3 linked regions of the Notamacropus eugenii genome follow. The protein of the gene in region 1 purifies or fractionates together with the protein of each later gene. This does not show direct contact. Links are inferred from orthologs where the notes say so. Each region holds a gene or a part of one and is shown in the gene's direction. Other genes may lie near its edges. The genes, in order: MET, PLXNB1 and GAB1.

Region 1 (10,782 bases):
CCAACAGGACTGGCGCTAAGACTAAAAACTCAAAAGAAGCGCAGCCCATGATGTTCCCCGTTATAACTCGGTCCCGCCGACTTGGGCCCCCACAAACCCCTGGGGCGGGTGAACTTACAGACTCCTCCGCGAGTGAGGGAGAGGAGGAGGAAGAGGAAAAGAATAAGGAGGAGGAGGAGGAGGAAGAGGAGGGAGAAGAAGGGCAGAGCAGTAGGAAGGCGGAACGGGAATGGCCGGAATACCGAAAATTGCATTTCAAGGGGCTTAAAGATCTCAATGCCGCTGTTAAGGCATATGGCCCCAATGCCCCTTTCACCCTCTCCGCCCTTGAGGCCATGTCCCGTGGAGGGTATCTTTTGCCGGCGGAGTGGCTCCGCGTGGTTCGAGCTGTTCTCTCACGGGGACAATTTTTGACGTGGAAAGCCGACTTCTATGATCGTTGTCAATCCACGGCAAAGAGCAATGGGAAGTCCCCCAACTCCCCCGCTTCAAAATGGACCTATGAAAAGCTGAGTGGTCAAGGCAAATATGCAGGTGAGGCCAAGCAACGCCGCCTTCCCATAGGTCTCTTGGCGCAAACCGCCAACGCGGCATTTGCCGCCTGGCGCGCTTTACCAACCCCTGGTTCTCCTCTTGCCCCGCTTAATAAAATAATACAAGGGACTCAGGAGGACTTTTCTGAATACGTTAGCAGGCTCCTGGAGGCCACCGAGCGGACCCTCGGTCAGGAGGCCTCTAAGGATCAGCTTGTGAGGCGTCTGGCATATGAGAACTCCAATACTGCTTGTCGCTCTGCCTTGCGCGGGAAATGGAGGGATAAAACCCTAGAGGAGATGATCCGCCTCTGCAGAGACATAGATCCTTTTACTACGAAAATATCCCAGGCTGTACATTTAGCTGTCGGGGCGGCTCTCCAGCCGGGGGACTCCCAGAAGGAGTGTTTCCGCTGTGGGCAACCCGGTCACTTTGCCCGGCAGTGCCCCAGCTCGCCAGATACCCCCCCTCCTCCAACCCAAAATAGGGGTTCTCAACCTTCCACCCTCTGCCCCAGATGCAGGAAAGGGAAGCACTGGGCGAACACTTGTCGCTCCGCGACAGATGTCAATGGCCACCCCCTGCAGGGAAACGGCCGGAGGGGCCAGCCCCGGGCCCCCCAGCCGATCCCCGTCCCGCGGGCCTCGGGGACCAGCCCGCCCACACCCAACTCTACAGAGCCACTTCAGGAAGCGCAGGGGTGGACCTGTGTGCCGCCTCCACCACAATATTGACCCCTGAAGGTGGGGTGCATATAATTTCTACAGGCATCTTTGGCCCCCCGCCCCCCAATTTTTATTTTTTTATTCTTGGTCGTGCTTCCACTACTATTAATGGCCTTCTAATCCACCCCTCCATTGTTGACGGTGATTATATGGGGGAAATCCAGATACTTGCTTCAACCCTACAGGGACCCCTCACTGTCTATCAGGGGCAACGCCTTGCACAGGCTCTCCCGCTCCCCCTACAAACCCCATACCCTGCCCTCACCACCGTTAGAGGCCACTCCAAGCCCGGGTCCTCAGACATCTATTGGGTTCAGGCCATTTCCCAGGACCGCCCCATGCTTATGCTTACCATTCAAGGCAGATCTTTTGAAGGAATATTAGATTCCGGAGCTGACTCAACTGTTATTTCAAAAGATAGCTGGCCGCCTTCTTGGCCCCTTCAACCATCCATGACGCACTTACAGGGCATAGGCCAGTCCCATTATACTCTACAGAGTTCCCAATGGTTGCCCTGGCAAGACAAGGAGGGAAATAAAGGGACTGTCCGGCCTTTTGTGGTCCCCGGCCTACCTGTCAACTTATGGGGAAGGGATATTCTTTCTCAGCAGGGGATAATTATGTGCAGTCCAAATACAGTTGTAACCCGTCAGATGGTCTCCCAGGGATTTCTCCCAGGGAAAAGGCTAGGCAAAAGAGGGCAAGGACAACCATCCCCAATTGTTGCTGAAGGGAGGAAAGGGCGAGCAGGCCTTGGCTTTGAAGGCCCAGATAATCAGAACCATTTTTCGTGAGGGCCACGGGTCCTCCTGCACTCCAGGCAGATAGGATCTCGTGGAAAAATGACCTACCCGTCTGGGTAGACCAGTGGCCCTTACCCAAGATAAAGCTGGAAGCAGCGTTCGCTTTAGTGCAGGAGCAATTAGCTGCAGGGCACATAGAACCGTCCACATCCCCGTGGAACACACCCATTTTTGTTATCCAGAAAAGGTCAGGTAACTGGCGGCTCTTACATGATTTGCGGGCCGTCAATAAAACTATGGTTCCTATGGGGGCCCTTCAACCTGGGCTCCCCTCTCCTGTAGCCATACCACAAGGTTTCTCTAAGATTACAATTGACCTTAAGGATTGCTTCTTTTCCATTCCCCTCCACCCCTCCGATTGCCAGCGCTTCGCTTTTAGTGTTCCTATTACCAATTGTGTGGGCCCTTCCCCGCGTTTTCAGTGGAAAGTCTTGCCACAAGGCATGGCTAATAGCCCTACGCTGTGCCAAAAATATGTAGCACAAACAATTGACCCTTTTCGCTTGCAGTATCCCAAGCTTTATATCATCCATTATATGGATGATATCCTCCTTGCAGGTTCAGATGATGAGGAATTGACCCAGGTATCACAGGAGCTCATTAGGGCATTGGAAAATCGGGGCCTTAAAATTTCCCCCGATAAAATACAAACCTACCCCCCGCAGCTCTTCTTGGGGTTTGAACTTTTAACTAATCGCATTCTCTCCCAGAAGGTTCGCTTGCGAGTAAGTCACCTTTGTTCCCTTAATGATTTCCAAAAGCTTCTGGGAGAATTGAATTGGCTTAGGCCTTATCTTAAGCTCACTACGGGGGAATTGAGACCCTTGTTTGATATTCTAAAAGGAGACTCCGACCCAAATTCACCCCGTTCTCTCACGCCGGAGGCCCGTAAGGCCCTTGCCTTAATTGAGCAAGCTATTCATGATCAACATATTGGGTATTACGCTCCTCTAAAACCTCTTTGGCTCTTAATTTTTTCTACCGCTTTTTCCCCCACTGGATTATTGTGGCAGGAGCATCCGTTGTTTTGGATTCATATGCCAGCCACACCTACAAAGATCCTCCCCTCCTACCCGCATTTAACGGCTGGCCTCCTGCGCCTAGGGCGAGAGGCAGCCCTTCGGCTTTTTGGTCGGGAACCAGATCATATTGTCTGCCCCTACACCGCTTCACAGATTCAATGGCTGCTTCAGAATGATGACGATTGGGCAGTTAACTGCATTTCCTACCCAGGGATTATAGACAATCATTATCCCTCAGACAAGCTTGTCCAGTTCTTTCAGAAAACACCTGTTGTCTTCCCAAGGATTACCAAGGCGGAGCCCATCAGAGGCGCCCATTTGGCGTTCACTGATGGATCCGCCACAGGGAAGGCAGCCTTCAGTGTTAATGGAAAGGCCACCTCTTTTGACACACCCTTCATCTCTGCGCAGCTGGTGGAACTTGCAGCGGTCATCAAGGTTTTTGAATCTGTTCCGGGTCCTCTCAATATTTATACTGATAGCTCCTACATTGCACATTCGGTCCCTCTATTGGAAACTGTCCCGTATATTCGTCCCTCCACTAATGCGTCTCCTCTTTTTGCCACTCTTCAGCTTCTAATCCTCTCCCGCAAGCACCCCTTTTTCATTGGACATATTCGTGCCCACTCCGACCTCCCCGGTCCCCTTTCTGAAGGGAATGATCAGGTTGATCAGGCAACTCGTCGCATTTTACTTGCGCTGTCTACCTCTCCTGTTGCTGCTGCCACGCAAGCCCATAAGCTGCATCACCTTAATGCCCATACGCTTCGTCTCAAGTTCCCTATCACCCGGGAACAAGCCAGACAGATCGTGAAACAGTGCCCTGGCTGCCTGACTCTTCTCCCTGAACCTCATACTGGCATCAATCCCCGAGGTCTCATTCCCGGGGAGCTTTGGCAAATGGATGTCACTCATTACCTCCCTTTTGGTCGGCTTAAATATATTCATGTGTCCATTGATACCTTCAGTGGTTTTATCTTTGCCACCTTGCAACCTGGAGAGGCCACCAAGCATGTCATTAATCACCTCATTAGTGCCTTGGCAGTCCTCCCGCAGCCCAAAATTCTTAAGACAGATAATGGCCCCGGCTACACTAGCTCTTCTTTCAGATCCTTTTGTACACAACTACATATTAAGCATGTAACTGGCATACCCTATAATCCTCAGGGGCAAGGAATTGTGGAAAGGGCCCATCAAACATTGAAAAACATGGTCCTGAAATTACAGTCAGGGGGGGAAGTTCTTTATCCCAGAGCTGGCAATGCCAAAACGTTGCTCAATCACGCCCTTTTTGTTTTAAATTTTCTCACCCTTGACGCTGCGGCAAAGAGTGCAGCAGACCGCCTTTGGCATTCCTCTACGGCCCAAACCTACGCTCAGGCAAAATGGAAAGATCCCCTTCTTGGCAAATGGCAGGGCCCTGATCCTGTGTTAATCTGGGGCAAAGGCCATGCTTGTATTTATGATTCAAAGTGCCAAAATGCTAGATGGTTGCCTGAAAGGCTGATCAAGTTGATGGACAAGCCAGATGCTTACAATACCGTCCAGGGGACTACACCTCCCTGAGACACATCTGTTTTTCTTTTCCTGTTTTTCAGGAGATGACGCAAAGAACTTTTCGAAAATCCCCTCTGGAGTGGCTTGAATGGAGTCCTCCCATATCTCCTCCCTCTCCTTGGACCCTTGATTGGTCTCCTCCTACTTCTTTCTTTTGGGCCCTGGGCTTTTAGTAGACTAACCTCTTTCATTAAAACGCAGATTGAGGCTTCTCTTAAAAGCCCTATCAATATCCATTATCATCGCCTGGCACTTCTGGAGAACCCTGCAGACAACGAGGAGGACGGACTTCAGTTCTCCAAGCTTGTGCAGTCAGAGTCCCGTTGCATGCGGTGGTGGAAGGCCTTTAGGGGATAAACACGGAGCGGCAGCTGTGAGAGTGCCCATGACGGGAATATTGAGGCCCCATATATCAGGATCATAGGCGCGGCTGCAGTTGTTCCCTATGACGGGAGTAGAGCAAGGCCGTGGCTGTTCGGCCACGTAGATCCCCTTGCTTAGCCTAAGACAGGGTCATCTGCCGAAAAAGCGCTCTGAATATGGAAACCAGCCTCATAGCCTAAGACAGGCCTCTCACCCGCCCGCATATTTTAATTTCAGTCCGCCCGCATGTTTTAATTTTAGTCAAAAGGGGGACATGTCGGGGACTGAGGCCCCCCACCTGTACCTCCTCTAACCTGCTTGCTTTCGTCCCGCCTGAGAAGAAAAACCGCACCCCACGATCCCGTGGAGAGATAAGAGAAGGGACTGCCTGAGGCTATGCAAACATACCAATGCGGGACCTGGTGAAGCAGTAGATGTTATGTAAACACAGATAGCCAAAGTACGATGTCCTAAGATAGAGCTGGCCCACCACGGAATTTGCTTGGAATCTCTTTGTCTTTTCTCTATATAAGTTTGCAACCCTGATAATAAAATCAGACCTTGCTTACCACCCCTTTGGTCTCACTCCTCTTTTCACCCATCCCCTTCAGGTAGGCGTTCTCCTCGATCCCCCCACTCATACTGGCCCTGCAGGTCAGGGCAGGAGACCTAGAATTTAAATCTAAACCAAAGTATCACAAATTTAGAGGTGGAAAGAACCCAGGAAGTAATTTAGTCCAGTCCTCTCACTTGGCAGATGAGCAAATGGAGGTTTAGAGAATTCACACTGTGACTTGTCCAGTGAGGTCACATTGGTGTCTCTCAGAGCTGGGCACTGAAACTAGGCCCTCTGACTTCAAATCCAACAAGATTTCCACTATTCAACACAGATGGATGCAAACAAATCTCAATCATTAATCTTATGGCCTAATTTATTCCTTATTCACCAAATGAGTGACAGAATCTCTAGAGAAGGACAAATGGTGGTCCTGCTTTATGTATTAATATAACATTATTTGGAAACTATACATACATAGCTTTAGAGCTGAAAGAGTAGGCAGTTCCAAACCACATATTTTACAGACAAGGAAAATGAGGTCCAAAGAGGATAATTGATTTGCAAGGTACTAAATGACAGGCAGGATTGGAATTGTCATCTGGTTCCACATCCAATGCACTTCCACTTCTGCATACTTCTTATCAAGCATGCAAACTGAAGATACAGCTGCACAATGAGTGGAAAACAGTAACCTTTACATTCACACTTTAAAAATGGGAAGATTTCAGTGGCCAAGAATTTCATTTCATATTTTTGATTCATTGGTATTTTCCTAGTTATTTAATCACCCTGTTTTCTTGCTGAGAAAGCAAGTAAAAGAAATTGGAGTCTCCTCTGGGCTCAGTACTTCAGCAGTTGTTGTTCCTTCTTGAAATCAGAGTTATTACAGTGGGGGCTAAGCGTTGCATAATGTAACCGTTGCAACAACTTGACTATCCACCACCCCCTGGACAATAAATTCCTTGTTTCTGTAGTGCCCAAATCTTTCCCTACCCCCATCCCCTCCCATAGGTCAGTGTTGGACTGCAAAGGGAAAAGTTGGAAACAAACTACAGAGATAAGCCTTGTTTAGCTTATTCCTAGGGTAGTGAGTGAGTGAGAGTGAGTGTGTGTGTGTGTGTGTGTGTGTGTGTGTGTGTGTGTGTGTGTAGACACTAAGAAGCCAGAGAAGGGGGGAATGAGAGGAGGAAGAGGAGGAGGAGGAGGAGAGAGAGACAGAGACAGACGAGAGAGAGAGAGAGAGAGAGAGAGAGAGAGAGAGAGAGAGAGAGAGAGAGAGAGAGAGAGAGAGAGAGAGAGAGAGAGAGAGAGAGAGAGAGAATCTTCTGTCAGCAATCTCAACAAGCATACCAGGAGGGGGAGACTCAACCTTGCTTATTACCAGCTGTGCTAACTCCAAGCCGACCGAGGTGGGGAAAGGAGAAAGAGAAGGAAAGAGAGAGAGAGAAACAGAGGAGGAGAGAGAAAGGGGAAGCGAGAAAACTCCTTTATCTACAAAGTTTCTCTTTTCCATGAAGGTTACTGGGAAAAAGGAAAAGAGATCGGCCAAAGTAGCCAGGAGATGAGCGGCGTCCGGGGCTAGATTTGCCCTTCTGGACAGCACCAGTGCCCACCTCTGCAGCGCTTTGGGTCCCAAAGGAGAGAACTAAAAGGGGCACGTGCAGAAGAAGTGTTGGACAGTGCACCTCCCCGCCCCTCTGGAACATACACACACACAGACACACACACACACACACACAGACACACACACACACACACACTCCCTCACTCACACTCACACAGCCGCACACTCGCACACGCGGAACCCGATGCCGGGGTGAGTCACGGGCAGGTCAGGACCGCATGTGGAAAGGGGCGGAGGGAGCCCTAGCACCAACGATTTGCCTTCGGGAGCTTCCACAGCGCAGCGGACACCAGGCACCTAAGAGGGGAGGAGCGCTTGCTGGCTTGTTCTGTGCCAGGGCTGCCAGGTGACCCGGGAGGGCCGCTCACCTCCTCTCCCGCCGTACCCCCCTCCCCTCCGCACCGCTCCGAGCGCCTTTGTGTCCAGATGCAGCGGAGACCAGCTTGACTGAGGAATCCAGATGCGGGACGACAGCTGAACAGCTGCGAAAGCAAGGGGGGAGGGGACAGGGCGAACGCCTGCGGGTGGTCTTTTACCCCCTGAGCTGCTTCTCTGTGCGGACCCTGGCACCTCCAGGTAAAGACTTGAACCTCTCTTCTAAAATACACCCCCGCCCTAGCCCCTTCTCTTTGTTTGTGAGACAGGAGTGGTGGGTGAATTGGGTAAGGAGAGGGATCGCTAGAGAAGGGTGGAGGGGAAGGGAGAAGAGTTTTTCGTTGTTAAAAGCTAAAGTTGTATGGTCAGAATGAAGGTGAAAGCAAAAACTGTTCTTTTACCATGGGGGGTGGGGAGGTGTGTGTGTGATGACACCCTGGATAATTACCTGGATGACTCAGAGTAGATCTTGTGCCTAGGAGTAGGGAGGGAGGCTGTGAAGTGTGTGTGTGTGTGTGTGTGTGTGTGTGTGTGTGTGTATGTTTGTCTGTATACCACCGCTATAGATAAGTTTCAGTTGGTGATCTGACTCAGCCTGTACAAAGGGATGCAGTCACTCTGACCCCAGGCGATGCTGGGAAGATCTGGGCAAAGCTGACTCCTTACTTAATCGAAACTATGATTTGATAATCTTGGAAGGGGCAGGTGCATGTGTACACCTTTCTGTGTGGGTCCCAATTTTCCATTTCTTTACAGCAGACCACACTTGTGCCAATTAATAATTCCTCAGTCTCCAATCATACCTTATGTCATTGTTTAGAATATAAAGGAGAAACTGCTTATAGCTAGCATTCAGGCAACTGTTGCTGGTATTGGTAGAGAGATGATTACTGTTTCAATAATTGACAAGTACTTTGTGCATTTTATAAATAAAAGTCATTCCACTGAGCACTTCTACAGCACAGAAATCTATATCAAGGATGATTTCATACATCAGACCTTTTAGGTTAAAAAAAAAATCCACTGACTAATTTGACAATTGGAAACTGTTCCCATGATGGTGCAGGAAGAGTTATGCTGGTGTAGCTTACCTTTTTTCCCACAGTTTTATGTTTGAAGAAGCACTTTGGCAAAATGAAATACTATCAACTCTTAGGCAAAATAATCAAGATCCATTAATTGCCTAGATATGATAGGCAATGAATATGAGGTGATAGTAAAAACTGGCATTGCAAGGAATATATGGAACTCTAAATTACTCTCCCCAGTTTTAAGAAATGATCACATTTTAAACATTGCATTGAAGGCTTACTTTTTAGTTTCTATCATCCAGACACATATGCCATGCAAATGGATTCAATAAAACATTATTTTCCTTTACAGCAAAACTGTTTAGGCTAACTAATAAATTTTTTTCTGCAGCATGATTATCTAAAAAATGATGTACATTATGTTTTTCTGTGCTACTGGAACATGAATTGTGCTCTTATGTAAACAGTGTAAGTGGTGCCTGGATTATTTACAGATATATAGCCTTTCCCTTTTTATCTCAAAGCTTATTGAATTTTATCTAAGTACAGAAACTTCCATAGTCAAATCTAGTAGAGAACTGAAGAGCATTTGTATTCATATTTTGTTTTTATTCTTAATTACTTTGCAGTGTTTTTATGAGCTATGCTTTTTGAATTGTGTGATGACAATTCAAGGAAGATCCTTTATACCATTCGTTAGAACTTTTCACAGTACTCAAAATGTGTCTAATCTTTTATAAAACATACAGGTGTTTAGGATAATATTCTGTTCAAAACTTTAAAATGCAACAGAGTTGTTGTTAACCTAAATTTCTTTTACTTCTGACAATTGGAGTCTACTACATGTATGTTCCATAGAAAACCTACTTTTGGGAGGACTTGTTTTGTTTCTTTAAGCAGCATCATAGGGTACATCTAATCTGTGTTAGATGTGCATGCCTTCAGCAAACATGGGTGGGTTTATCTAAGTGATCGAAAGGGTCTGAATCAAGTAGACCAAGTCAGAATAAATGTTCATAGCTAATGTTTACAGGACTATGTATTCACCAGAAGAAAAAATGCCACTTTGCGAAGGCATGAAAGGGGAAAGAATTGAAAGGGGCTATTCTGTTCTTTTCTTAATGTCTACCATTTCTTCTATTATATTTATTGATATATAATCCTATACCTACTTTTACTCAAGAAAGCCTAGGATCAGAAATTACTCTGTTAGTTGCAGGTGAAATCTATTTTAAAATGGCAATATTTTTGGTAGAAAAACTAAATATCATACTCAGTATTATTTTCTCCAATCTCATTTTTTCTTTCAAAGCAAAACTGAGTAATTCAAGAGTGGTTCCTTTAAGAAGGAGAGTATTGGCTCGAGGGTGGCCTTTGCAGCCTGACTGAAACCTAGTAGTAGTCACATAGACTGAAAAGAGTAAGCTTGTTTGATATTGTTTATTCTAGCTTCATTATTTTGATTTAGCACTATTTATTTATCACCCATCTCTCTACACATCTTCATGTCAGACGCTCTGGTTTGTCAGAGATTCTGAGTCCAACAGTCTTATTTTTTCTTCCAGTTTCTTCTGTTGACCTCAGGTTTGGAGGGCACTGCCTATCCCTTCATGCATCAGAACTAACTAGTCTCTTCCAGAATCTTCTTCATTTTTTTCCCTTTGCAGCACTGCCTTCATATGACAGAGTGCATTTTCGGACGTGCTTTTTCTAGGCTTCCAGTTGTTTCTTTTTAAAGGGGAAGTAAGTAAATCTAGGAATCCGTAGGCAAGGAACTTTGTACCTTAGTGAATTAGCCACGTTTTCAGTGGCTTTCTCTGTGACAGGGCAGAGTGTCATCAGCTGCTTTAGGAAGGTAATAATAGCAGCAAATGAATAATAAAGGTTACTATTAACTAATGTCACTTTAGGCAGGAATGCTTTGACTTCCACTTTCTTCTCTAGTTAACCCCAATCTGTGGCAGAGTGGATTGCATGCATCTGGACCCCTAGCCAGCCACACTCTTGCACAGTTTTATTTAGCAAACATTTGTTGAGCACAGCGTGTGCCAGATAGCATGCTAGACTGGCAGGGGGAGGGGATCTAAAAGATAAAGTTCTTATCCTTAGTTATCTTTTAATCTAGTACAATGGTAAATAACACACTGTAGATTTCAAATTCCAGTTCTACAAATATACCAATGCAGTGA
Region 2 (9,711 bases), on another chromosome or scaffold:
GCCAGGCCCTGTGCTAAGTGCTTTACAAATATTAACTTGTTTGATCCTTAACAACTATCTTTGGAAATAGGTGTTATTATCCCCATTTTACAGTTGAGGAAACAGAGTCAGAAGTTAAGGGACTTGCCCAAGGTCACATAGTGTCTGAGAATGGATTTGAATTCAGGCCTTTCTGACACTAGGCCCAGTGCTCTATCCCCTGCACTGTCCAGCTGCCTCTAGAGACATGGCCACTAAGGCCCTTTCCAACTCTCAAATTCTGTAATTCTGTGACACTGTTGATTAGAACTTTAGTTAAATTCAATAACTCTCTTACACGATATGCTCAGTGAGAAGCATTGTGATAAAGAGCTGGCCTCAGAGTCTGGAAGACCTGATTTCATATCCTGCTTCTATCACCATATTATGGCTGTAACACTGAGCAAGTCACCTTGCCTTTTAGTGCCCCAGGGAAATTGCTGCAAAGGAACCTGTCTCCATTGATGGAAGTTCTTTACCAAGAGCTTCCTATACGGATGAAATCATATATCATAATACTGGGCACTAGTGACCCAATGACAAAAATGAGAAAGTCCCTGTCCTCAAGCAGCTTATGTCTCATTGGGGGGAGATGGCAGGTACTCATAGAAGTAAACATGAATTGTACACAAAGTAATTCCTGGTAGGGCATGGGGGAGAACTTTTAACAGAGGGTGATAGAGAACATGAGGATAGAGCTGAACTCTGAAAGTAGCTAGGAAATCTACAAGGCAGAGGTAAAGTTCAGAGAACATTCCAGTCAATAAGTCAATACACATTTATTAAGCGCCAAGATGCAAAAGCCAGTCCCAATATTCATGGAGCTCGTAATCTAGTGGGGGAGACTACAAGGCAGCAAATCCGTACAAACGCTATTTACAGCATAAATAGGAGATAATTTAGAGAGGGAAGGCACTAGAATTAAAAAGGGTTGGGAAAGGCTTCCCGGAGTGGAGATAGACTTTTCAAATGCACAGAGGTTCAATGGAATGTCTTCCTGAGCATCATAGGATCATAGATTTAGATCTGGAAAGCACTTTAGAGTTCACCCAGTTTGGCTGAGAAGGAGAAACGTCACATTAGTCTAGAAAGATAGATGGGAGGCCGACGGTGAAAGAAAGGCTTTAAAGGCTCAATAGAAGAGTTTGTATTTTACCCTCAAGGCAATGGGGACCCATTGAAGCTTCTTGAAGAGAGGAGTGGTAACGGGTCAGAGTGGATAGACAGGGAATGGGAACAGCTTTCCAAAGTTTCTTTGGAAGTGATGGTGGGAGTGTGGGACTGCTTTATATTTTTGTATTTGTTCCTAGCTTATACATTTTCTGTGGTGTGAGAAACAAAGGCCATCCCATACCCAATATCCATATTATACACTAAGTATCTCTACAGAACTCGAGGACTTTGCTACCTACTTTTAGGGAAACCTAGACATTAGCCATGCCGTGATTACGGTGTAAGATTTTCCTGGAGAACTCCAGGTAGAAGCAATGAGCTGGAGAGAGACAAAGACCCTCATGGTGTCAGGTCCCCTCCATGTGAGATCAGAGTCCTTGGGCCCTGGGTCATGGATGACAAACACAGATTGGCTTACCTTAATTGGGGGAAATGAAGCTAGGGTGAGTGTGGAACAGGATTTCTTCTTAACTCAATAGAGGATGTCTAGCATCATGCAAGGATGTGAATATATTCTATTAAGTATAATACATTACCCCCGCCCATGCTACCTTCCAGCCAAACTGGCTGACATTCTTTGTCAGCAAGCCTTTATGCTTTTTGCATATGCCTAGAATACACTGCTGCCTCATTTCAACTCTCCAAACAAGATAGTTGTACCCTTGTGCCTCGAATACTGTCTGGCATGTAGAGGGCATTTAAGAAATACTTAATGATTATCAGTTTGGCAGTTGTGTGCAGAATTGGAGAGAGGGGAGAGGATGAAGGCAGGGAAACCAATTAAGAAGCAAACAGTGATGAAGGCTTGAGCTAGGGTATAGAGAGAAGGAAGGGAATTCTAGAGACGTGGAGGAAGAAACAAGATTTGGTAACATTGTATGGGACAGGAAAAGAAAATGTGAAGAGTTGAGATAGTTGTAAACCTGAATGACAGAATCCTGAGAATCAAAAGCTTGTATTCCAGAAATTAGTGCCTAGTACACAACAGGAGCTTAATAAATGTTTATTAACTGACTGACAACTGGGAGCTTGGGAACAGCCAATGTGGTTGATCAATCTGTCAGTCTCTGAAGGGGACTAGAATGGACCCTGACATGGTAGGGATGCTAGACAGGCATTGCTTAGACTAAGGGACAAAGACTCAGGTCCTTATCTTTCACCTCTAGAGCATCATAGTGCAGTGAAACGTGGAGGTGTTAGAATGACTGATGCCCACACATGCTTTCCCTCTTTGCCAGGCTGGAGAATAGCAGTGCCTTTTGATTTCCTGAAGGTAGGCTTTGAGTCTTTTGCTCACCTCTGGCCAGACAGGCCCACGGAAATTCATTGGGCCAGTACAAACTAAAGGCAGAGGAGGAGGGACTGTGATGTAGGCTCAGCCCAGGACCCCCAGCTGCCTGACACCTGAGGTCCTACTCAGCTTTGCCTGGTAGGTGGGGCTTAAGAGAAAAGACACCACTGAGTAGTTCAGAGAGCTGGGGTAAGGGTTGGCTTCAGGGAGCATGGGCGGTGCCAACTCAGCAGGGAGAGTTGGGGAAGGGTGGGGCAGGCCAGCTTTGAAGGTAAATCCCTGTTCTTGCCTGGGAAGGGGCCCAAACAGGGGCAGAGTATGTTCCTGGGGCCCGCCTCTCAAGCTCCCCTTGCCTGGACAACATGTAGGCCACGCTTGGCAGCTAAGTCCTCCCTGCCCTTCTAACATTAATCAATGACTTTGCACTTTGCACTTTCCCCTTTACTGCCCCTACCTCAACTATCCCATTCATCCCCCCTTACTCATTCCCCATAAGGCTGCATGAGGAATTGAAGTCAGAGGACCTGATTTCAAATGCTAGCTCTGCTACTTATCATCCTCTCTGTACTTTGGGAAAATAACCTTTCTAGGGCTCAGTTTCCTCAACTGAAAACTAGATGACTTAAGTCTCTTCCAGCAATAACTATTATCTTATGATCTCTCCCTGTCCTCTCCCCAAACTACTTCCTCTCATTGGTCCATCTTCTGTCCCCTCCTCCCCAACCCTAAGAATGAAGCCTTCACAGAGAACTCCAGAAAATTCTAGATGTTGACAAGAACCTTGTGGTGGGGATGGTAAGAAAATGGAAATCAAAGGATTACAGATTTATGGCTGGAAAAGACCTAAATGGTCTTTTTGTTTGTTTGTTCACTGTCTCTTCATTCATTTCCCATCCTCTTAAAGTGATTCCACCACAAGAATTTATTCTGGCTTCTCTTCTCTCCTCTCCACATTGTCTCTTGGCATTCTCATTCACTGCTATGGTTGCCATGACTGATTCTATGATCAGCCCTCAAATCTCCAGCACTGATTCTTCTGAGCTCCAGACCTACATCTCCAGCTGCCTATGGGGCATATGACACCTGCAATTTGGAGGTTCCACTTACTGTCTTAAGCCTTTAAATCTCTGACTTCATCATTTCTGCGGCTGATACCACATGGTTCATCCTGTGTCCCATGTTTGAAAATGTAAGGTTATCTTGGACTCTTCCCCTATCCAAATGCTTATCAAGTTCTATTGATTCCCCTTCAGTAACATCTCTCAAATCCTTACCCTTCTGTCCCAAATGACTCTACCACAGCACAAACTCTCATTACTAATTCCTTATCTCCACCCCCCCAAGCTATTCCAATAGCTGAACAGGTCTTTCCCCTTCCAGTCCAACCTTACACTACTGCCAGATTACATTTTCTAATAAATAAATCGTCTTATTACTTCTTCAGAAATTTTTGGCTACTTTTTATTGCCCTTGGTTTGACATTTAGGGTTTTCACATCTGGCACCACTTTCACCTTTCCATCTCACACTAATTCTCACCTTTTATGTCTACTGAGCTCCGGTCAAATTGGACAATGCTGTTCTCCAACTCAAAATGTCCCACTTCCCTCTAGTAACTCAGCTAGTATTATCATAGACAGATTTCACATATTCCTATGTGCACTCTCTCATGGACTTTTACATTATTTGGCTTTGTGTGACTTTGTGTCATATCCTCCATTGTATAGTGAACTGTGAATGCAGAGACTGTGACATTTAAACTAAGTGTTCTTTCTCCCACAGCCTAGTCCAATGCTTTCCCAGGGCTTAATGTTTAATTGTAGGAGGAGAGAGTGGGGAAGCTTCATGGGGGATGAGGAAGTTGGGAGGGAGGGGAGAAGAGGGGAAAGGCAGTGGAAGGGGAAAATGGTAGAGAAGGAAGGGCAGCCCCAGGTCGGACCATGTCAATCCCCTATTCAAAAGTCTTCAATGCGTCTCTATTGGCTTTTGGAGAAAATGCAGACTCCTCAGCCCGGCATTTAAAGCCACTAACTTGGCTTCCACCTACATTTCCAAATATTGCACCTTGGTCCCATCCACGTGAATAAAATGAGTTTTCTTGAAGTTCTGGGAACTGGGTATGCTATCTCTCTTCTCTGTTCATAGATTTAGACTCAGGAAGGGTCTTTCGAGATCAACTTCACCTCTTCATTCAAGAGATGTTAAATGGCTTGTCCAAGGTCACACAGTAGAGTCGTACTTTGTCGGTCTTCCGACCCCACAAACAGCCTCCCTTTTCACTTGACCATTTTGCCGCGTTTGCACTGGCTGTCCGCCCCTCAATTTCTGGAATACATTCCTTCCTTACTTCTACCTTATAGGACCCCAAGATTTCTTTAAGTCAGAGTTCAGGTGTTCTGTCCACTCCCAACTCCCTAGTCGAGCTTACTTGGTATTTACTAATATGTCCACTTGTGGGTCGTCCTCCAAGAACGGGAGCAATCCTTAGGGATGCCTTTCTTTCTTTCCTTCCTTTTCTTAGGGATTTCTTTCTTTTTTCCTTCTTTCCTTCCTTCCTTCCTTCCTTCCTTCCTTCCTTCCTTCCTTCCTTCCTTCCTTCCTTCCTTCCTTCCTTTCTCTCTCTCTCTCTCTCTCTCTTTCTCTCTCTCTCTCTCTCTCTCTCTCTCTCTCTCTCTCTCCTCTCTCTCTCCTTCCATCCTTCCTAATCTGGAGGAGAAAGTGGAGAGGAAGGAAGGGTAGAAAGAGAAGGGGGAAGGCAAAGGACAAGCAGGTGAGGGTTCTGGTGGAGAAAACGCGGTGCCCCTCTGTGCTGCCCTCCCTGCTTCATCCTGCAGCCCTTCTCGGCCTGCGGGCTGGCTGGGGGTGGGGGTGTCTCTGTTCCTGGGCAGCCGGGGTCTGGAGAGAGGGAGGAAAGGAAGGCGCAGAGCCCGGGGGAGGACGCGGCTTTGTCTCCATTGTTTCTGGAGGTGAATGCGCCGGGCCGTGGGGGATGGGCGGGCGCAGTTTTCCGCCCCTCGGTCTCCGGGTAACAGCTGTGGCTTCGCCGGATCCACCTCCGGGGGCGGGGGTAGGGGAGGCCCGCGCCGCTCTGGGGCTCGGCTCAGCCCAGCTCAGCGCCGCGCCGCGCAGCGCCACTCGGCTCGGCGCGGCCCCGCGCAGCAGAGGGTTCGAGCGCGGTGCAACTGTGTGCGGTGAGACGGTGTGCGGTGCAACGGTGGGAGCGCCTCCCTCCCTCCCTGTCCCAGCAGCGGGGCCCGAGTGGTGAGTCCGTGCGTCCCGGGGGGCGGCGAGGAATCCGAGCACCCCGGCCAGACTCCCCGAGTCCCCGGAGGTGGAGAGCCGGCATCCGTAAGGATGGCTTGGGGAACACTTACGTGGACCGCTTGGGGCTTTCTGTTGTGTGGATCGGCCACCTGGAAGGGAGAGCTCTTGATCTGGGGCCTGGGGCTGGGCAGGGGGCTATTTCATTGTGGGCATTTTGGACCGAACTTCTCCGGTGGAAGAAAACTTCAGGGTGGTTTTGATTGGGAGAGGCGGGAGGCGGGATCGACTCCCCCTGAACTGGAGCTGAGTGCCCCCTCCCTCCACCCCTGGGCAGCCCCTCCTCTCCCCCACCTCCATCCTCACCAGCCAACAGCCTTTCCCTCCCCGCCAGGACCAGATGACCAGAGAGGGGGTCTTTCCTTCTTGGACCCTGGGGGCGGGATGCCTGTACTGAGGAAGACGGGAGGTACACCACACCTCGGAAGGTGGAATATGTGGGAGAGGTTCGGGGCTCCTGCACCTTGCCTAGATCCAAGAAGGATTGGGAGAGTGGGTCGTAACTCTACCTTTCCCATCCCAGTAAATTCAAACGCTCCCTGGATTGCGACCCCCCCCCCCCCTTCTTCCATGCACACCTTAATTGTGGCCCTCGTCCCTCCCTCAGAACACACCCTAAATCGCTACCGCTCCTTCTGTACATATAGAGTGGATTTGGATTTTGACACTCCTCTAATGTGGGCTTCCTTAATGTGACCACCCTCCCCTTCAGTACACACACCCTGGAGAGTGACAGTCTTCCGTCAGACTGGATTGTGTCACCTAAACCACCAAAAGGCATATCCTGAATTACGACCCTCCCTTTTCGCCTCATACATAATCTAAATTGAGACCTCCCTCTCCTCAGCCCTCTAAATGCTCAAATCAAAGGGTAACCCGCTCACATTTTGGGGTTAATGAGTAACTGGCCAGCTCAGAGATGGGAAGGAAGCAGTCTCCCCGGCCATTCCAGTGAAAGCTGGTTTCTCCTGATTATGGCACCCAGGGAGCCAGCCAGGTGGTGGGCACCTCATTGGGTACAAGGTGGGGGGAGGGGCCGAAGGGGCAGGGATCAAGACAGGGTCTGGGCCTTTGAAGAAAGGGGAGGGGTTGTTCCCTTGCTAAGAGGAAGCCTCTCTGCACCGCTATCTCAGCCTTTCACCTCTTGTCTCCTGGAAGTGGATAGGAGGGCTAAACCTGGAGTGGGGAGGGGGTGTATATTTGGGGGCCGTAGCTCTTGGGCATCTCCTTAACTGGTGGGTGAAGAAATCGTACTCCCCCTGGTGGATGAAATGGAGAGATGGCCTGGAAAAAGTGGGGAGCCCTAGAGTGGCATAATCTGGTGCCAATTTTGACATTGTTGGAGGAGGGATTTTCTAGCTAACATGTTGGGGGGAAGGAATGGTATACTCGTGGGCCCAACTGGAATGTGGTAGGCTCTGAGTGTTAGGGTGCAAGGGGTCGGTAGGGTGCAGAGGCCCATTTGGAGGCAATAGAAGCTTTGAAGAAAGTTTTGGGAGAATGAAGGACTTGCACTGTCTCATTTGTGTACAAATCTCAATAACACATTCTGGTTCATGGTCTCTAATTAGTAAAGATGTTTCTGAAGCCACCCAGATTCTCCAGTTGATCTTCACCCTTCTCCCTGTCCCTTCCCTTGACCTCTGTGTTGTCCTTCCCCCTTTCTCCTCTGTTACTATGCTTGGCACAAACTAAGCACTTAATAAATGCCTTTTCATTTTCATTCAATCTTCCCTGACCCTCTCCATTTTATTTTCCTTGTCCTTCAGTCTTTCCCTCTCTGTCTGCATGACTCTTCTTGCTTGACTCTGGCTTTTGTCCATAATGGGGAAAGGTATATAGGGTCCTGGGAGGAAGCTGATGATAGAGAACAGAATAGGAGCAGTTCTGGCCTCTCCAGCCCCCTTCCCCTAGAGTCACTCCATCCATGCAGACAGCTCCTGGGAATCCCTTGAGAGGGGAAAAGAGAACTGATTGGCTCTTCAGGGTCAGTAGAAGAAAGGAGGGAGGAATATAGATGATGGGAGCAGCTCTGGACCTACCCTGCTCAGGAACCCCTTTTGCCTCCCGATTCCATTGGCCCTCTGGCCCCATATCCCCCCAGTTCAGGCCTTTCAGTTCCCACTGTGGGATAGGACATGAGTCCTTGGAGGAAGCTCCTGTCTGTTCCTTGAACTGGGCAGCTATGGCAGTCGGCACCCTCAGAACATTTCTGGATGCAGGGTGATTATCTTCTGCTGTGTGTTATATTATTATGGTTTATATGGGCATCTGCCTCCACTCCCTCCAACAAACACACTCCCTATCTGCTCCAGATGCCTGTGATATCTGTTTGATCAGCCTTTTGGAGTTCTCATCTGCTTCCTACTTGGAGAGGGGGGTCGGAGAGAGAGAGCTTGGAATTCAAGACTACAGGGTGGGAGAAGGTGCTAGAGAGAAGAGCAGCTGAGTTGGAGGGGGAGGGGATTCTCTGACTTTAGGTTCATCCAAATACCCTTCCCCAGTTTCAGCCCCATTAACTAGTCTTTAGGGAAAGCCCCATCTATGTCTTTTGTTAGGGAGAAGTACACTTGAGCTTGAGGGACCTTCTGAGCTTGTCTGTTACCAGGTCTGTGCCATAGGTACCCTGCAGTCTGGGGGTTTGGGGGGGGTGGGGCTCTGCCAAGGTCTCTCCCAAGGCTGCTGTCCTCCGAGATTGAAGTGAAGGCGGTTGGAATCTAATGCCTTGATTTAAAAGAAAGTCAGAAGCAAGCAATACATCCAGACATAGATTTCTTCCTTTCAAACTAGGAACTTTAGATCTCTAGATTCTGTCTGTCCAGTGGTGTCTTGAAGTAGTTTCTGGAGCCTGTGGGATCCTGAGAGAGAAGACATCCCTTCTTTGCCTTTTCTCCAGTCTGGATCTGAAAATGACCCAAGTCAGTGGCATGGGAAGCAGGAAATTCCCTTATTCTCCCACAGTGGGATGTATGGGGTAGAGAGGTTTCAGCCAGTCCCTACTCACCCTTTTCCAGCCCTCCTACTCTCCATCCTCCTTTCTCAATTCTCACCCCCACACCCTCTCTTCCATGCCACTCATTCTCCCCCCCACCTTCATCCTTTCCCCCACCCGCCTGGGGCGGATAAACAAAGGCAGTGTTGTTCCCGCTCCCACAGAGCTGCCCTGTTCTCTCCACACTAAAAATGGAAACCCCCGAGCTATTTTGGGAGCTGTGCCCAGGCCGGGCCGTGGCCTACTGCCTCCCCATTCCCACCCAGCTTGGTCCCCACCCCCTCTTTCGCAGCTCTTTCCTTGTGGAGCCTAGGCTCAGGGTTCAGCTCTGAGCCCCTCCTCTCTGGCCTCTTCTGTGTACTGACCATTCCCTGCAGTGCTGTTCTTTCACTTGATTGGGTCAGGGGGCAGGGAGGATTGGTTAGTGGGGAGCAGACTTGAGTGCCAAGGTCATCACTGTCTCCTGATTGTTCCTACTACTGGTAGTCGATCTGGGGGTCTTAGGATCTGTGCCCTCTTGCCTTTTCTCATATGAGAGACAAGAGATGTCTGAGTATACAGAAGAACTTTTCTAAATAGGCCTCCCCAGGACACCAAAGAAACCTCTCTGACTTGGCTGGCTTGTCTCTTGGACTCTTGTTATCTGAGATAGACTGACCCCCCAGGCCACCAACAGCATACAGAAGAGCCCCGAGTCACTTAGGAGATCAGCCTGTTGGGGCCAGACAGAACAGAGGGAAGCTGAAGACTGAAAAGATTCAGGTGCTCCACCCCCTACTCAGGCCCCTAATTATCTCCCTCATCCCCCCCACTCCTTCCCTTCTTAGCTCCCCAAGCCCTGCAACCCCCCTCAGAGCTCAGTTCCCTAATACCTTAGGTACAGCTTTACTGAGACTCCCTCTATGGGAGTTTAAAAA
Region 3 (9,705 bases), on another chromosome or scaffold:
AATCTCTAGAAAGGCAACTCTTAAAAAGTGCATGTGAATTTGATATATTCTATGCAAGATTAATTCAACATATTGCTATTAACTATGTGAAATTAACTATTGCCCATTCCAAATTAATCCCAAGATTAATTCAGCAAATATTTTAAAATTATCTACTATTTTAAATTCACTATCCTTGAAGATAAGGATGTAGAACCAAAACTGTCCCTACCCTGGAGGAGTAGTTTCCTTGGGGTGGGAGGGGGAGGGGAGGGAAGGGTGAGATGGCCTGTTCACAGATAAGTAAATACAAAATTGAATGTTCACAATAAGGGAACTAAAAAAGGGAGGTGAATTCCATAATAAAACGAGTATTTATATAAAACATTAAAGTTTGCAAAGCTATCCTTATCCTTATCCTTATCCATTGATAAAAGGCTGGTAGTTTGAGGACAAATTTTGACTGTCATTTCATGAGATGCTTCACTTATCTATGGAGTCAGGGACAACGTAGTTTAAAATTTGATCTATGTAGATCTATGGGGGTTTGTTGAGAAGACAGAGAAAGAAGGTAAAGTGAAATTTTAAAAATAAATATAGATACATCATATCTAGAAATAGATATATTTACACACATAAATATCTACCTATATATTCTCTTATTTGATTCTTATAATAACCCTGGGAAGTATTAGATACTTTGATATTTCCATTTTACAGATGAGAAAACTACAAAGAGTGGTTAGCTGAGGATTCAAACTCAGTTCTCTTCCTCCCTCTAAGGCCTGTGCTCTCTATCTACCACAACCATCTACCTGCCTCTCAGATAAATCTTTAGATGTAATGATTGTATAGACTGGAATAAGATTATTTTATTTGGGAACAAGAAAATATTAGGGCATCAACATTTCATAGTACAGCAGAGCACTCTATTTTTAAAAATTCCTTAAATTGCTTTTATACAGTGGGTGTGGTTAATCTCCCTCCCTACACAGTGATGGTCCCTGCCCAGACTCTCCACCCATTTTTTCTAAGTCTAGGCAGATACCTTGCCCTAACCACTAGTTACCAATGTTTGAGGTGCAAAAATACTAAACGCTGTACGTGGACAAGGACCGAGCAACACAGAAAATGTTTGCATAATTTTAGACGTGGTGATTTCTAGTAAGAATCTTTACACATGATTTAAAAATCATTTGGCTTACCAGTATGGAATCTCAGTGTTGCCAGATCATAGGATTTACAGATGGAAGGGTCCTTAGAGGTCATCTGGTCCAACCTTTCATTTAACAGATGAGGAAACGGAGAGTCAGAGAGGATGTGATGTCCAATTAGGCAAATGAAGTAGTTTGTCCAAAATCTCAAAGGTACTCGTTACCAATGTCCTTATTCTGTAGATGAAGAAACAAGCCCAGAGAGTCTAAGTGAAGAATATTTATTTTGGGGGATCAGTAAAAAGGTCAGAAGATGGGAATTCTAGACTTCTAATTCTGTCAATAACTGTGTGATCTTGGACAAACTGTTTAATCCAGGGGTAGGGAATCTTCAACCTCTAGGTCACATGTGGCCTTTTAGGTCCTTGGGTGTAGTCTTTTGACCGAGTCCAAGTTTTACAGAACAAATTCCTTTATTAAGGGGATTTGTTCTATGAAGTTTGGATTCAGTCACTATATCCTATATCCCTATATATCCTACGGGTTTCAATTTCCTCTATTCAGTCGTAAAATTCTTGTTTTTCATCTTTCATACCCAGTTCTTAGTAGTGTCTTGCACAGAGTACATATTTAAGAAGATGTTCTCTGAAATGTATGATCTATGATAATGACACTTTTATTTCTAAGAGGGCCACCTTCAACAGCCCTTCTCTGATCACCCCAGTTGGTTCAAGCTACTGTCCTCCCATATCATCACTTCCTATTTAGTATATAAATATATATGTATGTGTACATGTATGTTCTTATGTTTGTCCTTCGTTGCTGAAGAAGACCATGCCATCAAAGAAATGATGATAAGACCTGCACTTGACTTTTTTTTTGAGTGAGGGAGGGCTGTGCAAGGTCACCAGCCTCACTTCTTCAGTGTCACTTGAATCAAGTGACCAGATGATATGATATTCATCAGGATATCAGGATGCCTTTCCTTTCCTCTCCTCTCCTCTTGTCTCCTTTCCTTTCTTTCCTTTCCCAAAACCTTAAACCTACTGCACTCTGAACCTCTGACAACAATGGGCCCCTACCTAAAGGCCCAATACTAACTGTTGCTGTTTCCCACCCAGTCTGATGTCTTTCTTTTTCTTTGCCTCATTAAAGGGCCCATGCCCTGGCTACTTCTTAAACAGGTCTATTCAATGAATGACTGTTACCTCACATGTATGTATATACACACAAACACACACACATATGGAAACCACTCCAGTATCTTTGCCAATAAAACCTCAAATGAGGCCACAAAGAGTAAGATACAACTGAAATGACTGAACTACACACACACACACACACACACACACACACACACACACACACACACACACATACACAGAGTATCTAAGCATACACAAACATATATATACATACTTACATACACATACACACTTTATATATGAAAGTAGGGAGACCTGGCTGACCTCAGAGTCAGGAATTGTTACTGGTGTTGTCCAGTTGTGTCTGACTCTTCCAGACCCCCTGCACCATAACGTCCACTAGATTTTTTTTGGCTTGCCATTTCCTTCTCCAGTAGATTATGGCAAACAAAGCCAGGAATACCCGTATTTAAATCCTATCTCTGATACATACTGACTCTGTGACTCTGAACAGTGGTTATGTTTCCAGAAGTCATTTAACAAGCGGGCAAGTCATGATCTAGGCAACTTTCTATAAACTGCAGAGAAGTTACCTGCATTGATAGATTCCCTATTGCAATGAAACCACAGATTCAGCCTCTACACTGTTTTTGCTTATCTGTGAATTCTCTCAGAATTTAAGGTCTTGGAGGGCAAGGGCATTCTCACATTTGTATTCCTAGCATCCAGCACAGTACCTGGCACATGGTACATGCTTAATAAATATTTCTTGGTGGAACAAATCTACAACTTTAATTTTTAAAAATGCTTTGCATTTTAAGACCCACAAAAATAAACAGAGGAAAAAAACTGCATATTATGTGAGCCGGAATCTTCAAAGTCTTTAAAAGCCAGGCTTATGAGTATGAACACCAGGAAAAACAAAACACTTTATTATTATGAAATGGACTTTAGCACCACACCATAAACATTCGGTACAGTTCGTTCTTTCAAAAACTTAGGAGTTGTTTCACAGCCAGCACAAGCAAAGAGAAGTAGCAGAAATTGATCACAGAGGTGAATGATCATAAAATGTCACTGAAATGATAATAGCTGACCTTTAATGAGAACTTTCAGGTTGGCATAGAACTTTACATGCATGATCTCATTTGATCCTTACCACAACCTTCTAAGGGAGATGCTACTTTCCTTTTACAGCTGAGGAAACTGGCTCACATGGCTACTGTCAGAGGCAAGATTTGTACTACAGGTCTGTCCTGATTCCAAAGCTTCCATCTCTCTGCTGTACCCAAAAACATAATGTAATAATGCAATCGTTGCTGTAGACTGTTGGACTGAAGTCTCTCTCACCTCTAAAATTTTATGATTCTGCTCAGTAAATCAACAGTTCATTTTTCTTCAATTTAATTTTGGTTAAATTTAAATTAGCTTGCTCTTTCCCTCCAAAAAACTTCTTTTTTCTTTTTTAAATTTCCCACCATGGTCACAGACTAGGAATCTTATTTCTTCTGGTTGCAAGTCTCATTCTTTCTATCCTATCCCTCCCCCCTCCACCCAAGGGCAGGGACTTAGAAGCAACTCCAGCCTCCAACAGTTCGGATAACCTTCTCTGGGCCGTTCTGCACATTCTTCCACAGAGAAAATTCCAAAACTTCCTTTCAACCACATTAAAAAAAAAAGACTTGGTTAAACATACAGTCCAGAGGGCAAAAACTGAGATTTCTTATTTCAGCCGTGTTCCCTCCCCCAACCCCTCCTCCTCTCCTCTTATCAGCGTTCTTTCTCAGTGAGCCTGCCTGGTTGGGTCCCGGCCTCCAACTTTCAAGGCAAAAAAGGGGCTCTCTAGAAGTCTCCTTCTGCCATCAGGGAAGCGGGGAGGAAAGGAAACAGACATCTCGCCATTCCCGGACTACAGATCCCAGAGTGCCTCTCCTCCTTCCAGTCTCTCTGCTCTGCCCTTGTTGTTGAGCTGAAAGGGCTTTGGCTGAGTTTCAAGCGAAAGTCTTGGCCTCTCAGTCCGGACAGGGAGAGGAACAGCCACCAGGGGCCAAACTTGGGAAAGGGGAGGAGGAAAGAGAGGAAGAGGGAGTGGGAAAAGGCAGGGGGTGGGAGGAAGGCTCAGCAGGGGGAGGGGTGGGCTGGGGAGGGGGAATGTGTGTCCAACCTGTCACCAACTCCTAGGCTGAAGCTGGATCTTGGAGAGAAAGTGGAGGGGCGGGGGAAGAGGAGGAAAAAGGAGGGCTAGGGCTGTGGAATCCACTCCCAGGAGGGGAGCGGAGGGAGGAGAGTCTCGCCGCAGCTCTGCGCGGGGCTGGCGGGCCCCCTCCTCACTCTTCTCCCTTCCACTGGAGGCGAGAGAAGGGAGGATTCCTCCCCCAACCCCCTCCCCAGCCAATCCCCGCCCCAGGGCCTTGGGGGGGCCTCAAGTTCGAACGGTAGAACTTTGGTGGCTCCCCAGTTTCCAAAGCCCCTGCGCGCCCTCCCCGAAGGCCTGGGAAGGAGGAGTAGGCTAGGGGGCTGCGGAGACAGGGAACCCGAGCAGGAGGGTGCTTTAGTGCACGTCTGTGTGTGTGTGTGTGTGTGTGTGTGTGTGTGCAGTGTGAGTGTGTGCGCACTGTGAGTGTGTGTGCGCACCGTGAGTGTGTGTGAGTGTGTGCAGTGTGAATGCACTGTGTGTGTGCGCACTGTGAGTGTGTGTGAGTGTGTGCAGTGCACTCTCCAGCAGGGGGTGGAGCAAGCCGGGAGGCCAGGGGCTCGGGCTCCGGCTCCGGGCAGAGTCTCCGGGAGACGTCAGGCACACCCGGGGGCTGCCCAGAGCGGGGCCGCCCAGAGCGGGGCTGCGGGCCGGTGGGGAGCGAGCTCCAGGTCGGGCTCCGGTTCGGGCGCCCCGCGCGTCCCCCGCGCTCGGGCAGCGGGACGGGCTGGGCTGCTGGGCGGCGGCGGCGGCCGAGGCGCGGGAGGGGCGGGCTCCGGCGGAGCCTCCTTTCATGTCTGTGTGAGCCGGGAGCAGACAGGGGCGGGGGGCGGGGAAGGCGGGGAGGGAGGGAGGGAACGAGAGAAAGAGAGCCGAGCCGGGAGGGGGAGTGCGCTCATTCCCGAGCCGCTCCTGTCCACATCGCCGGGGAGCCCGCACCGCTGGGGAGCCCGCCCCGCCGAGGAGCCCGCCCCGGCGCCCTCCCTGCGCCCGCCCGCCTGCCCTTCCTCCCGGGTCGTCCGCGGAGGCCGGAGCGGCCGTAGGGCGTGCGAGGGGCCGGCCCGCCCGCGCTGCGGCCGCCCGCACCCCACCTCGCAGGACTCGGCGGCGGAGCCCGGAGATACTCGCTCACCATGAGCGGCGGCGAAGTGGTTTGCTCGGGATGGCTCCGAAAATCCCCCCCGGAGAAGAAGTTGAAGCGTTACGTAAGTACCGCGCGGGCGCTCCACCTGGAGCGGGCTTCGCACCTCGGCCGGGCCGCCCCGAAGCCGCCTCTCCCTCCCCGCCTGCCTCCCGGCCCCCCCCCCCCCCGGGGCAGGGGCGGCCCCCCGGGGCAGGGGCGTGCGGGAGCGGGCCCCAGGGTCCCCTCCTCCGGGGCCCCCTCCCCCTTCTCTGGCCAGACACCTCGCACACACACATTCACAAATTACACACACACATTCACAAATTACACACACACTCAAGTGCACACTCACGCACTCGAACGGGAGACTTTCTCTAGCAACTTTCCTCCCTCCCCTCTTGAAAACTACGTCATTTACGGACTAAAGCCCTAGGACCCACAGCCGTAAGACCCAAACCTGGGACTTCTCTGGGAGAAAAAAAAAGAAAGAAAAAAAAAGGCTGTCAGTGTTTTTTATTATCCCTTTTCCTTGGATCCGAGAAGAGAAACCCTTCTTTAGAATATGCATCTTAGTCTTAGAGTCTGGCAGACACGCATATTATTAATATGATGACGCCCCCCGCCCCCCTCCACCCCTTTACAGCAAAAAGAATTTGGAATCCACTGTGGATTCTCCCCTACGCCCTCCCTCCCCTTGCTTTTTCTCTGTTTCCGTCTCCCCTTTTCTGCTTTTCTTCGGGATTCTACCCCCCCCTTCCCGCCCCCCCGCCACACCTCTCCTTACTCTTGGAGGGGAGGAAGGAGGGAGGACGGGGAATCTTAGGGAGATAGGATCAAGGAATTGCATTTTAGACGTCCAAGGGACCCTTGGTTTGCTGAACAGAAATGCAGGATCGAGGTGACGTTGGAGTTTAGGGTTTTGTTTTTGTTTGTGCCAGGAAAGCGATGGGGGTTTGCTGAGAGACCGATTGATTAATTTCCTCACCCGGGAAAGGGCTGGTGTTTAGGACGCCTCCGGTGCGCTGTCAAGTCACGTAGGAGAGGGACTGCTGATGTCAGAAGCGAGATCTTGAAGGGCTTCTTTCCCCGGGCACCAGAGTCGATTAAAAACAGTATCCATGTAATTGATACAAAGGAGCTGTTTCTTCACTGAGCTGTTGGAAAAACAATTCCTTGAAAGAACCAGCTTGACTTAAGTGGAGATTTTTGTCCTACTCTGGGAGTTCCAGGATCCTGCTTCCTGGAGCTTTTTTTTTTTTTTTAAGACTGCTTGATGTCTTTACCACTGCTTCCTGAAAAGGAAAGGGATGACACTTTTGTCTTAGCCACATGTTTTTCTTATAAAAATGTTCCCACACGTTTTTTACTGGTCCTCAGAGACCAGAACTTTTTCTGTTGGCCACCTGTGTCTCCTGGTAGTTGTTTGTCTTTTTTTATGATTAAAGGATAGGATTTTAGCTAACGTTACTGTTTACTCCAGGTCTTCAAGGTCTCCTCATCGAGTTCCTTCCAGAATTGTATTTATCAATAAGAATTACTGCATAAAAAAGAGTGGGTGCCACACATTCCACCCAATCAGCATAGTCTTTGCCTTTTCCTTGGCTTCATTTTTGTCTGATTGTCCTATGGAAGAATTTTGCTTTCATCTAAAACTTAGAGAGTTGAAAGGTCATTTTTGTAGGCATTTATACAGTTTAGAGCTGAAAGGGACCCTAGAGATCTTTAATTGAGCCTGTCATCAGGTAGTCTTGGAATAGTGAAAATGAGAGCTCCTTGGAGCCAGGGAGATCTTGGTTGCAGCCCCGCCTCAGATACATACAGACTTGTGACTCTGGGCACTTGCCACCTCTCTTTTGGCCTCTCGGTATCAAACATAAAAATGTAACATATTGACTTAGAAATAACATTCACGTTATCTATAGCATATTATGGGCAGCTAGTTGCCTGGCCTCAAGTCAGGAAGACCTGAGTTCAAATGTGGCTTTAGACACTTACTTGCTGTGTGACCCTGGGTAAGTTTCTTCACCCTGTTTGCCTCAGTTTCCTCACCTGTAAAATGAGCCACAGAAGGAAAGGGCAAACCATTTCAGTATCTCTGCCAAGAAAACCCCAAATGGGGTCGCACAGAGTTCCAAGAAGGCTGAAAATAACTTTGTATCGTATTTTTATTTATTTTGTTAAATATTTTCCAATTACTTTGTAATCTGGTTTGCAAATACTACACGACCACATGCCTCCTGTTTGATACCTCTGCCCTAGAGAGCTCTCTAAGAATGCAAATTGCAGAAAAGTTGTTGACCTGAATTGACAGAGGGAGTTTGCTAGGTCCAGGCCCTAACCACTCCCTTTTAACAGATGGGGAAATTGAGGCCGGGAGAGTGACTTAGGTACTACCTTCCAGAGATAAGAAGGCAACGTAAACAACAGCCCATATCATCAAGTGAAGTTATGGCCTGACTTCTTAAGCAGTTTGGATGAAAGAAGAGGATTCACAGAAACAGTTACAGTCTATAGGAGTTTGAATCACTGCTTTTCTTGTCTGGTTAACATGTGTGGCCATCTTGAAGTGAGCATTATACTAGCCAGGCTCCCTTGAGGCCAGAATGCATAGTAGAGAATAGATGGTTCATGTCTCTAGGGGGTTAGGAGTCTAATATATTTTGAACCAGGGGAAGAATTGGAAGCCTTACTTGCAGCCTTGCATTTGCAGGCCTTTGCATTAATTCATTCAAATGTGCTGAAAATAATCTCATGAAATAGAACAGATTTTGTTTTGTTTTTGCCTGGACCTGTGATTTCATCAGTAAAGGGAACTTCTAGTATGGAAACTTTCTTGTTCTGCAATTTATAGTGTTAGTGTTAGTGAGAGAGAAGTGACCTGACCATCCTCATTAGGCTAATATGCATTAGAATCCGAACCTGAACTGGTCTTCCTGATTGCATTGCTGGCATTCCAAGAGGAAGAGACCAGGAGGAGGGACAGCATTCCATGCAAAGACAGAGATGGGAAATGGGGCAATCTGTTTGACTAGCAACAGGAAGGCCAGTTTCTCTGGACTGTAGAAGTTGTGAAGGAGTTGTCATTGAAAAAACATTTATTAAGCACCGTTTATCAGTATGCTGGGTATTGTGCTAAGTACTTGGGATACAAAGGCAAGAAAGATGCTTTCTGTTCTCTAGGTCTAGGTCAAAGCTCACAGTCTAGAGGGGGATAAACCTAGAAGGGAGAATGGGATGATGGGCTTTAAATGCAGAACAGAGAAGTTTGTATTTGATTTAGAGGTAATAGGTAGCCTCTGAAATTTGAGGTGGGGAGTGGTGTGATTAGACCTGTGCTTTAGGAATGCCACTAGGGGAAAGGTAGAGAATGGATTCTAGAGTGGGGGGAGACTTGAAGAAGAGAGCCTAATTAGGAGCCTATTTGTAATAGCCTAGGTAAGACAGGGTGAGCATTTGAACTAGGGTGGTGGCAAGGTGAGTGGAGAGAAGGAGTTAGCAGCAATAAATGATGTGGGGTCAAATCCACGAGACTTAGCAATTGATTAGAAATGTGGAGTGAGGGAGAGTGAAGAATGGTTTTTTCCTTTGTTCCTCTCATATACTGTGTATGTCTTGTAGTCTTATTAGTTTATTATGTCCTTGCAGATAGGAGTTGTCTTGTTTTTTTAATCATACTATGTTTGTTAGAGAGGGAAGGGGGTTGAATTGGTGTTACTTGGCTAGTAATTTGTCAAACAAGACCTTCTGCCAGACGGTTTGCTAATAACATCATATTATGTCGCCTCTGTATTGTTTGAATGTGCCAGGGCAAATTCTGAAAGACTTTACGTACATGGAAATAGGAGAGGAACAGCTTCGATCCAATAAGTGATCATAACAATCGGCATTCATGTAGTGCTGAGGCAGTTAGTGGTACAGGGGATGGCGCATGCTGGTCCTCCAAGTCCGGAAGACCTGAGTGAGACACTGACTAGCTGTGTGATCCTGGACAAGTCCCTTAACTTCTGCTTGCCTTAGTTTCTTCAGCTGTAAAACAGGGATAATAACAGGATCAAATGAGAGAATTGTTAAAAGCACTTATCACAGTGCCTGGCACATAGTTGATGCTTA

Evidence for each region.
Region 2: the proteins of MET (region 1) and PLXNB1 purify together in Homo sapiens (co-immunoprecipitation; 3 studies listed by IntAct). This does not show direct contact. The link is inferred for Notamacropus eugenii from reciprocal best matches to the Homo sapiens genes MET and PLXNB1.
Region 3: the proteins of MET (region 1) and GAB1 purify together in Homo sapiens (affinity purification with western blotting; 3 studies listed by BioGRID and IntAct, with this or other methods). This does not show direct contact. The link is inferred for Notamacropus eugenii from reciprocal best matches to the Homo sapiens genes MET and GAB1.

Annotation. Positions count from the first base shown.
Region 1 is NC_092874.1:136,377,179-136,387,960, reverse strand, and holds the start of MET (hepatocyte growth factor receptor), read left to right. Parts: upstream 1-6,853; 5' UTR 6,854-7,763; intron 7,764-10,782. UniProt on the Homo sapiens protein: Receptor tyrosine kinase that transduces signals from the extracellular matrix into the cytoplasm by binding to hepatocyte growth factor/HGF ligand. Regulates many physiological processes including proliferation, scattering, morphogenesis and survival.
Region 2 is NC_092872.1:14,566,088-14,575,798, forward strand, and holds the start of PLXNB1 (plexin-B1), read left to right. Parts: upstream 1-5,455; 5' UTR 5,456-5,470; coding exon 5,471-5,742; intron 5,743-9,711. UniProt on the Homo sapiens protein: Receptor for SEMA4D. Plays a role in GABAergic synapse development. Mediates SEMA4A- and SEMA4D-dependent inhibitory synapse development. Plays a role in RHOA activation and subsequent changes of the actin cytoskeleton.
Region 3 is NC_092877.1:140,474,678-140,484,382, forward strand, and holds the start of GAB1 (GRB2-associated-binding protein 1), read left to right. Parts: upstream 1-5,346; 5' UTR 5,347-5,605; coding exon 5,606-5,677; exon of another isoform or gene 5,678-5,756; intron 5,757-9,705. UniProt on the Homo sapiens protein: Adapter protein that plays a role in intracellular signaling cascades triggered by activated receptor-type kinases. Plays a role in FGFR1 signaling. Probably involved in signaling by the epidermal growth factor receptor (EGFR) and the insulin receptor (INSR).